Linked DNA regions of Sus scrofa. The protein of the gene in region 2 interacts with the protein of the main gene of each other region in a pairwise test. Links are inferred from orthologs where the notes say so. Each region holds a gene or a part of one and is shown on either strand. Other genes may lie near its edges.

Region 1 (4,747 bases), on a different chromosome or scaffold from region 2:
GGGGGCTCCTAACCTGCTGTTTTATCTCAACCGTCATCATCCATTTCCAGGTGAGATAACTAAGGCTCAGAGAGGCTCAGTCAGTATCCTGAGGCCCACAGCTGGCAAAGGGCAGAGGTGGGCTGGGTGCCAGGCTGGGTCTGACTAGTGGGTCTGCCCGTTCTGGGCAGCTGTGAAGGAGAAGGGGACAAGCCCCCACGTGACCTCCCCTTTGTCCATCTCCTTGGTCAGCTTTCAGCCACGGGGTTGGGGGGCACTGAGGTTGTCGCGGGCTGGGGAGGCCAGGGTCACTGGACCCACCTTGAGGAGAGCTTGGGCACAAAAGCCTGAACTCCCCGGGTTCCAGGGCACAGCGGGTGGCCTGAGACCCGGGCTGCCCCCAGGTGGCGTGGGGGCCTTGGCAGAAGCCTGGAGCTGTGTACTCTCTGGGAGATGGAGCCCCAGCCCCAGAATGCCTCCCTCAGTGCCCCGACACGCGTACGTGCGATGGCCAGGTGCTGGCACAGCTGGCTGTGGGGCTGTGCCCTGGGAAACCTGGTGGGCAGGGTGAGGCCTTTGCAACTCCCAAAGACCCTGTGGTCCACGGCCTCTGTCACCCTCACATCCTGCCGTGGCCCCAGAGCACTGCTTCCATCTTGGAGTGTTGTGACCTGGAGACCCAGGCTTGGGGAGAGGCAGGGGACCTGGGGCCTCAGCGCCAGAGCCTGGGCTTGAATCCCTGCTCCCTGCTTCCCGGCTGTGGAGCTGGGCAGGGGAGGAAGTGGGGCTTGGCGGGGCAGGGTAGGCCCAGGAGAGGGGCTGCATCCTGAGTGGAATGGGCCAGGGAGCAGGGAGTGATGGGGGCTGCTTTGCTACTCAGGCCAAAAGTGCTTTCTAGCAAGCCAGGTGTTTGCAGAGGCAGCAGACAGCCAGGTGTTTGCAGAGGCAGCAGAAAGTGGCGATCACCGGAGGCGTGTAAGCCCAGCCCGGTCACAGAGGCTGCGCCTGGCATGGGAGGCTGGTGGGGGGAGAGGGAGGGAAGGTGATGGGGAAATGCCTGGCGCAGGCTCGGAACTGGCCCCTTGGTCCCTTGGTATCAAGGGCTACCTTGAAACGCCAAAAGCTCCTGATGCAAGAGGCACAGCCCCTCTCTGTGGCCTCAGAAGGCGGAGTGGGTGGCTGTGTCCACGTTGGTGGCAGGAGCACGCCAGGGAGGTAGTGAGCTCCCTGTGTGGGGCACAAGCACTAGCTTCTTGTGGAGGTATCTCAGGGGCTGGGAAGCTGGGCTTCTGGGCCATCAGGTATTTGCTGGGAAGAAGCCAAGTACGCGGAGCTGGCCCTGGAGGGACTGCAGGGGCGCTTCCTCCCAGGGGACATGGCTGGCCTTGCCCCTGGGCCTGGAGAGCTGTGGTCTCTGGCCACAGTGGGCACGGCTAAAACCCAGCAGGCTAAACAGTGCTGACAGGGCACTGTACTGGGCCCCAACGGGCCTCAGGCCCTTGAAGGGTGGAAGGCAGGAAGTGCTGGCTACCGGGGGCTGCCCAGCAATCCAGCAACAGGAAGTCCTGGGCGGGGAGGAAGCCCTGGAGGCCGCAGGCCCCAGATGCAGCAGGCAGCTGCCAGCAGGAGGGATCGGCGGACGCAGCCAGCAGGCGGCATTCCGGGCAGTGCGGGGCATCGGGCCTCACCCGCCTGGAGGATGCGGGCTGAAGCCCCGCCCCATGGCCCCTGAGCCACATGGCCTTCCCGGGCCCCAGGACACCTGCCTCCAATCCAGTGCCAGGCAGGAAGAGAGCCATGTGCTGGGTCAGTGCCACCAGGTCAGTGGGCAGCCCTGGGGCTGGGGGTTCGGGAGGTGGTGTCAGCCCAGCACCCGTAGAACCGCTGAGGGAGGCTCCGCGTGGGAGCCAGGGCCCTCCTTGGGGCCGCGGTGGGCACCCGCAGGACGCTGGCCCCGGGCCCTTGAGAGGAGAGCCCTCAGGGATGGCCGGGGCAAACGGCGCCCAGAGAGACACCACTGCTGCCCCTGGGTCACGCGCCACTCAGCCAGCAGCTGGCAGGAGGGTGGGGCCTGGGTCGGGCGAGCCTTCCCACGGTACACCATGCCAGGGCAGCTTGGCCTTTGGGTTCTGTGTGCCTACATACTGCGTGATTGTGTGTGTGGTGTGAGTACGAGCATGTCCTGTGCCTGCAGGAGGGCAGAGCGAGCTGTGTGAGCCCCCCGGGAGTGCTGAGCTTGGGGGCCTGGTGGGGTGTCCAAGAGCCCCGGGGTCTCAGGGGCCCAGGTCGAGCCTCCCTCCCCTGGCACCGCTGGTCACGGGCCTTTGTAGGGATGTTTTGGTTTTCATTCTTTTATGGAGAAAGATTCTGGGAAGAGGAAGAAGGAGGAGAAACTGAAAGGGGAGCGAGAAGGAGCTGGGTGTCAGGCGCTGGGGCCCCGCGCCGCCTAGCGCCCGCTCTGGGCCAGGCGTGGGGGGCGCTCCATCATTGACTGGCTGTGTGACTTGACTTCTGAGTTCCTCAGCTTCTCTGACCCGTGGTGTCTTCATCAGTGACGTGGGGACGGTGCTGGCTCACTCTCAGGGGTGTTGTGGTGATGACGTGGGGTGACCTCTGAGAAGCACAGAGCCCGGCTCAGCCTCCTGGGCCGTGCGATGGGAGGGAAGCCTGGGGTGTGGCCAGCTGTCCGGTCAGACCTGGCGCTGGACCAGCGCGGGGCTGCGAGGCAGGGATGACGACCCGGACCTGGGCCCTGGCTGCCCGCCCAGGGCCCTGAGCCCGCCTGAGGGTCCTGTTAGCCCCTAGAGGTTGTGTGCGGGTGTGGATGTATGAGTGTGCGGGTGAGTACACATGCATGTTAGTGTGCGAGTGCACGTGTGGTTTACACAGGTGGGTGGGTGTGAACGTGTGCACTGGGGGACCTGGCCTCTTCTCCACTGGGGCTGGGACTCCCAGCCCCACCTCCCCTGCGGCTCTCACGAACAGGCCGGCCTGGTCACCACTGACAGGAACCCCCTGACACTGTGGTCACCCGAGGCGTCAGCTCCCTCACCACAGCTGGGGCTGAACCTGCAGGTGTCGTCCGCTCCCGGGCACAGGCTCACACGGGCACACAGGTGTGCGCACACACTGACGTGCACACACAGAGCCTTCTGCATTCAAGCTGTGCAGCTCATGCACATGTCCTATTTGGGGCGCCGTCAGTGACAATGACCGAGGGTGCAGACTACAGCTGCAGTGTGGCCCTGGGCTCACAGCCAGGCCGGAGGGGAGCTCAGCGGGGCTGTGGCTGTGTGACAGCGGTTTTCACCCTCCAGCTCTGTCCCCACCCGACAGCCTTAGGCCTTGGGTCCCACAGACCAGTCTCAACTCTGAGGGGAGGTGGGGGTGGGCACAGGAGCACAGCCGAGGCTCAGAGGTGCCTGCCTTCCCTAGTGGGTGTGCTGCTCACACGCAGGTACACACAATCGCATACCTCCTGGAAGGGCTCGCGCGGCCCGTCAGCCACCCTGACGCTGCCCTGTGCCTCCTGAGCCCTGCCCCCGGCGGCCCAAGCCTGGAACGTGAGTGCTGACCTGCTGCCGGCCCACTGGGTGGCCTCAGTCCCCTCCTGTGAGGGACAGATGTCCCCAGGGGAGGCCCCGTCACTGCTGCCGGACTGTGCCGGGCTGTGAGGATTGGGCTCTCCCAGGCCCCTTTTAACTGGAGGGAGGACAGGCCTGGCAGGACTGGAGCCCAGGGCTCTGGCACACTCCCTGCCAGCTCCCACCAGGGCTGCCCGGTGGGCACTGCCAGCAGCACAGGGAGGAGTCACCGTGGGGGTGTCTGCCCTGTGGCGGAGGGACGGAGGCTTCCTGCTGGTGAGGGGCCCCTGGGCCCTGAGGGAGAGAGCAGGGAGGCCAAGCTGGCCAGGAGCATGGGTGCCCCTTGGGGACTCCCCTGGACTTTCCTGGGCACCAGTGGCGTTGGAGCTGCGAACTGGGTGGAAATTCCCCCAGAGCTGTGTGGTCCGCATCAGCACGGCCCAGCGTCACCCTCGCCCTCAGCCACCACTTCCCCGTCCTGCTCCAGCTCGGCCTGGTTCTGGGCTCCGGGGAGGGTGCCAACCCAGCTCACCCAGAGGTGCAAGGCAAGGCTGGGGGGTTGCAGAGTGTTTGGGTATCAAGATGAGCTCCCACTTCGATGGCCCCTCTTCTGAGGCAGGGACATTCCCAGGGGAGGTGAGGGGGGAGCTCCAACCTGCCTTCCTCCGGCCACAGAGCACCTGCCTGGCCACTGAGCTGACCAGGTTTGGGGCCAGGAGGAGGCACCGGCGCCATGAGTCCTCTGTTCTGCCACCCCCCCTCCAGCACACCTGCCTGGAAAGGATGTGATATATGGGGGGCTGTTTCAGCTCCCTGTGCCTTCCAGGCAACTTGAGGTCCCTAACACCTAGCAGGGTCAACCTTCTGCATCCCCTTTGGAACTGCCTGGGCCCCCCCTCTGCTGGGCCTGAGCTGGTGATGGTAAAGAGAGTGACGCAGGACCAGCCAGAGGTCAGGGAGGACCACCTGAAAGAGGGGATCCTTGAGCGAACCCTTTCTTCATGTTGGGGTTGTTCGTTGCTGGCACAGAGAAATAGGATGGCTTTTTCTGTACTGATCTGGTGTCCTGCCACCTTGCCGAGCTCGTTTATTAGATCTGACCCTTATTTAGTGGATCCCTTAGAATTTTCTCCTATATAATCATCGGTGTAAGTAGTTTTACTTTTTCCTTTCCAATCTGAATA
Region 2 (4,611 bases):
AAAAAGCCCCAGGATCAACCATCTGACAGGACCCAAATCAGCTTCCACTCAGCTTCCCCAGGGCCTCACCAGCCACGGGGCAGAGCTGCCCAAGGCTGAGAAAGTCAGGAGAAATTATACCCAAGCTCAGAGATCTGGCCAGGAGGAAGGACAGGCTGCCAGGAAAGAACCACTGCTTCCCAGGAGAGGAGAGCGAACGAGGGGGAAACACTCGGGAAAACATGAGGCTCCCACTGTGATGCAGGGGGTTAGGAATCCGACTGCAGCAGTGCAGGTCACTGAAGAGGCCTGGGTTTAATCCCTAGCTCGGCACAGTAGTTTAAAGGTTTTGGCGATGCCGCAGCTGTGGTGTAGGTTGCAGCCATGTCTCAGATTCCACCCCTGGCCCAGAACTTCCACACCCTGCAGACGTGGCCATGAAAAAAAAAGAAAAGAAAGAAAACAGGAAATGACTTGGGAGGTGGTAGATGTCCAGACTCTGGCGGGCTGGAGTCCTGGCCAGCCTTCCTCCTGGAAGAAAGAAGCCCGCTCCTCTTGAAGGCACAAGACCTTGACTGCAGAAGACGAGGACAATGGACAGGTAGCAGGAACAGAGACAGCTGCTCAGCTCAGCTCTTCCAACAAGGGTTCCAGCAGCTAACAAGCCAAGCTCCATGCTGCCCACCACGCCTCTGACTTCATTCCCCTCCACTGAGCTCCAGCTTAAGCCACCTTCTTGATTATTCCCAGTTCAGAGGCTCAGCCCACAGTCAACCAAATTCTGCTCTTCTTTCAAACCAACATGGAAAAAAAAAAAAAAATATGCTGGCTTGTGAAGGCATACGGCACAAGGAGCATGGGCTGCTGAGCTCCTTATATTTCCGTCACTTTCCAAAAATGCACACTAAGAACCTGCTTCCCGCCGGTGATGGGAAAATGCAGCCGTGGATAACCCCTAGGAGGCCCTGTCCATGGAATATACTTTCTAAAGGGAGAAAAAAGAAACACAGACATCAACACTAAGATACTGTCAGGTAGTGAAGTGGGTGCAGGAAGTGAGCAAACATGCCACAGGCCAGGGGAAGAACCGCCTGGGGAACCGGGAGAGAGACCCAGCGTGGAGAAGGGCTGCTGTGGCTGCTCCCATTCCCCCTGGCTTCACGGCCTGGCCCAAGGCCCCCGCCTGCACATGACAATGACCTTCCATGCTGGGGGCACCTCTTCTAGCTCTGATATCCTCTACCACTCTCCCTGTACCCCCTCAGTCCATCTGAGCATCGCATCTACTATACATAAACAGCCCTGCCCTGGAGACAGAAAAGGGGCCCACCCCACCATTTCTGAGGGGAAGAAAGGTGACAAGAAAATCCGTGAGGCTGTCTGGCATCTGCCTGGAGGAGTCAAACAGGGAGATGGGAAAATCTGACTGTAGCCAGGGAACCAGGAATCGAGAAAGGCCTCTTTGCAAGGTTTTCTTGTGGCAGAGCAGGTTAAGGGTTCAGCGCTGTCATTGAAGCAGGTCGCTGCTGTGGCACGGGTTCGATCCCTGGCCTGGGAACTTCTATGTGCTGTGTACGTGAGGAAACAAAACAACACGAACAGGCCTCTCTGAGAAGAAGGTAACATGAGAGCTGAGAAGTGAAGTCTGGGGAGCCCCAGGCAGAGGGCGCAGCAAGTCCAAGGGCTCTGAGCAGACATGAGTTTGCGGGTTTAAGGAGGAGAAAGGAGGCGAGAGTGGTGGTAAACTGGTGTGACCAGAGTGTGATAAATAGGAGGGGGTTGGGGAGCCAGGCCATGCAGGGCCTGTCAGCCATGGGGCTTTATTTATGATGCAAGAGGAAGCCGCTGCAGAGTTTACACAGGGAAGTGCCACGGTCTATTTCTTCAGCTCGTGAATGGGACCTGCCCACACTGATGTGGCCCCAGAGAGTCTGCTGACCCAGACAGCTGGTGTTCTGAAGTTCTTTCCCAAGGCCTGGGGGTTAAGAACAGGCAAGGCTACAACGTTCTTAGTGTCACAGAAGTACACTGTCCGAAAGCCACCCTATGCTGGGCACCAGGGGAAGCCAAGAAAGTAGCAGCACTTGACAAGTGGAGAGAGTCATGGTAGCACAGCCACGCCCAGAAGGCCCTTCCCCAGGCAATGGGAAAAAGGCTCCCCAGAGCTGGTCACCTTAGTCCATCCTACTCAGCATATTTCCTAGTGCTCAAAGGTGGCCAGCGAAAACAAGAAGCAGATGGGGAAATAACAGAATCCTCAAGCATAGAAGGACCCTACTTGCAGGACAAAGAGCTTACCCTATGTGTGGGCTGCCCAGGGCTGTCCCAGGGACTTCAGGTCCAGGCTTCCAGTTCTACAAAGTCCCTAACACTGCCAGCCTAGCAAAGGATGTCATTAGGAGGTGGAGGGAGACGGGACCTTTATGGCCAGCAGTGTCCTTTCATTCACCCCCCCATGGCTCAAGCATTGCAGTATTTTTGGGGAAAGGGAGGTTCTGAAATACACGTTCACAAATAACATAGCACCTAGTTCCCTCGACCTCCCTGTTTGACCCTCCAGAGCAAGGCGCCCATTCCTGGTCGGGCTTCCAGACCACTCTGAGGGGCCCATCCCCGAACACAGCGTTTGGAAGAAGCCAGGCGTGGCTTCCGCTTTCTCAGGGAGGGCTGTGAAGGGCCCCTTTGTCCAGGGAAGTCCCCGGGCACGAGAGAAGAACCTGGCGAGGCCATCGAGCACAGAATTCAACGAGGCCCGCGGAACCGAGACTGGTGGCTAGCAGAGGGTACGGGCTGGGGACTCACGGGGTTCCCACGCCGGGTTTAACTTGCCCACGCACGGTGGGGCAAGGGGTGACGAGGCTGGGGGCCGCAGCGCCCCGGATGCGGCGCAGGTACGGGGCGGACAAGACTCCGCGCCCCCTGGCTCCCCTGCCCCCGGCCCGCCTCCGGCCGTCTCGCAACCCACCAGTCGGTCGGGGACTTCTCGTCGACCACTCGCATGTAGGCGTCCTGCAGCGCCGGCCCATTCCGGCTCAGGTTCACAGCCATGGCCGACCCCGCGGTCCCCGCACCTCCACTGCCGCCGCTGCTTCCGGGCCCGGCCCGCCCACGGCGGCCAGAAGCCCCGCCCGACGGCCGGAAGCCCCGCCCCCAACGGCCGGAAGCGGAAGTACATGGGTGAGCGGACTGGCTGGACGTGTAGGGGGCGGGCAAAGGGCCCGCGGCCTGCAGCCGCCCCCGCAGGAGCGGAAGGAGAGAGGGCGCGGCTTTCTGCGCGTCCCCGGGCTGTCCCTCCGAGCTGGGCCAGCTTTGTGGCGAGGGACCCCACCCATCCTCTATGAGCTGTTCTCACGGTGCATTTTCGCTTCTAATTCTTGTCGCAGTTAAAGCACTTACTTGAGAATCTTGGGTTCGCGGCAGGCTCGGGATGCCCCGAGCTTGTGCGGCCCCTCAATAGAAGTCGTATCTATCAATGAAGCATGCGTGAATTGATGAATAGAAGAATAAAAATGAATGAACCAAATGCGGGTCCCACGGCCACAAAACAGACTCAAAGTGCTGTTGGGACTCTTTGATCGCACCTGCGTCTTCCTCTCTAGCTTGGTTGAGGATGGGGTAGCAGAGGAAAGATGAGAACCTGGCCCGTGCTGGTCCCGTTACCAAACCAAACTGGGGTCCACTGGCCCCAGTGCAGTAAAGTGAATCTACTGACATGAGGTTATGGTGAAGGGACGTGCAGTATTTATTGCAGGTGCCAAGCAAGGAGTCCAGGTAGTTACTGCTCAAAAGACCTGAACTCCCCAATGGTTTTCAGGGAAAGGTTTTTAAACACGGGGACGAGGGATTGGGGTGCTCCGTGTGGTGACCAGGTTCATCCCTATGGATAAGGGAAAAGTGGGGAGACCCAGATTCCACTGAGAGAAGACTGAGAGGAGGGGGTCCCTGGTGTGGGAAGCTGGGGGCACTAGGATTCCACTTCCTGCTCTAATGTGTGGGAGCTTTTATCTGCCTGACGGATCAGGGAAGGCGTCTCAGAGGTAACAGTGGAGCAGAGACTGGATTGGGGGATGTGTGTGTGTGTGGGGGGTGCAGCTATGGACGATCTGGGCAGAAGTGTTCCAGAAAGAGGGAGCAGTATGTGTCGGAGCTCTGAGGTGGAGCACAGAGAGAAAGAGCGGGAAGGAGCATGGTGGAGGCTGGATCCTATAGGACCTCGGGGCTTTGGGTTTTATTCCTAGGTGGGATGGAGTCCTTGGTGGGCTTTAAAGAGAAAGGACGTGGTCTAGGGATGTTTTAAGTGTCCCTCTGTCTACTGTGCAGACCCTCTTGGTACCAGTCTCCCTCTCACGCCTGCTTTTCCTGAGTTCCTGTTTCCTTCCGCCATCTCTCGTGTTGGTTAGCTGGTCCTTGGTTCGAGCCTATGAGATGTCTCCACAGGTCACTCCTAGGACCCTTCTCTCCTTAGCGAATTTCTCCATCATTCACACAAGCCTCTGTACGTTTCTTGCATGTGGACAGACTCAGATCTGCCTTACTTCTTGATGCTCTCCTGGTAGATTTAGATGAAAATCCCAGGGCACAAAAGCAGGACTCTGAATGGTCAGTGGCCTCCATACTCTGAGGGCAGTTGAC

Evidence for each region. The genes of interacting proteins can lie anywhere in the genome.
Region 1: the proteins of DBNL (region 2) and SH3BP2 interact in binary tests that used the Homo sapiens proteins (3 or more experiments, as listed by UniProt). The link is inferred for Sus scrofa from reciprocal best matches to the Homo sapiens genes DBNL and SH3BP2.

The regions. Positions count from the first base shown.
Region 1 is NC_010450.4:1,599,625-1,604,371, forward strand, and holds the start of SH3BP2 (SH3 domain-binding protein 2), read left to right. Parts: upstream 1-1,580; 5' UTR 1,581-1,716; coding exon 1,717-1,799; intron 1,800-4,747. UniProt on the Homo sapiens protein: Binds differentially to the SH3 domains of certain proteins of signal transduction pathways. Binds to phosphatidylinositols; linking the hemopoietic tyrosine kinase fes to the cytoplasmic membrane in a phosphorylation dependent mechanism.
Region 2 is NC_010460.4:48,722,568-48,727,178, forward strand, and holds the start of DBNL (drebrin-like protein), read right to left. Parts: upstream 3,107-4,611; 5' UTR 3,028-3,106; coding exon 2,945-3,027; intron 1-2,944. UniProt on the Homo sapiens protein: Adapter protein that binds F-actin and DNM1, and thereby plays a role in receptor-mediated endocytosis.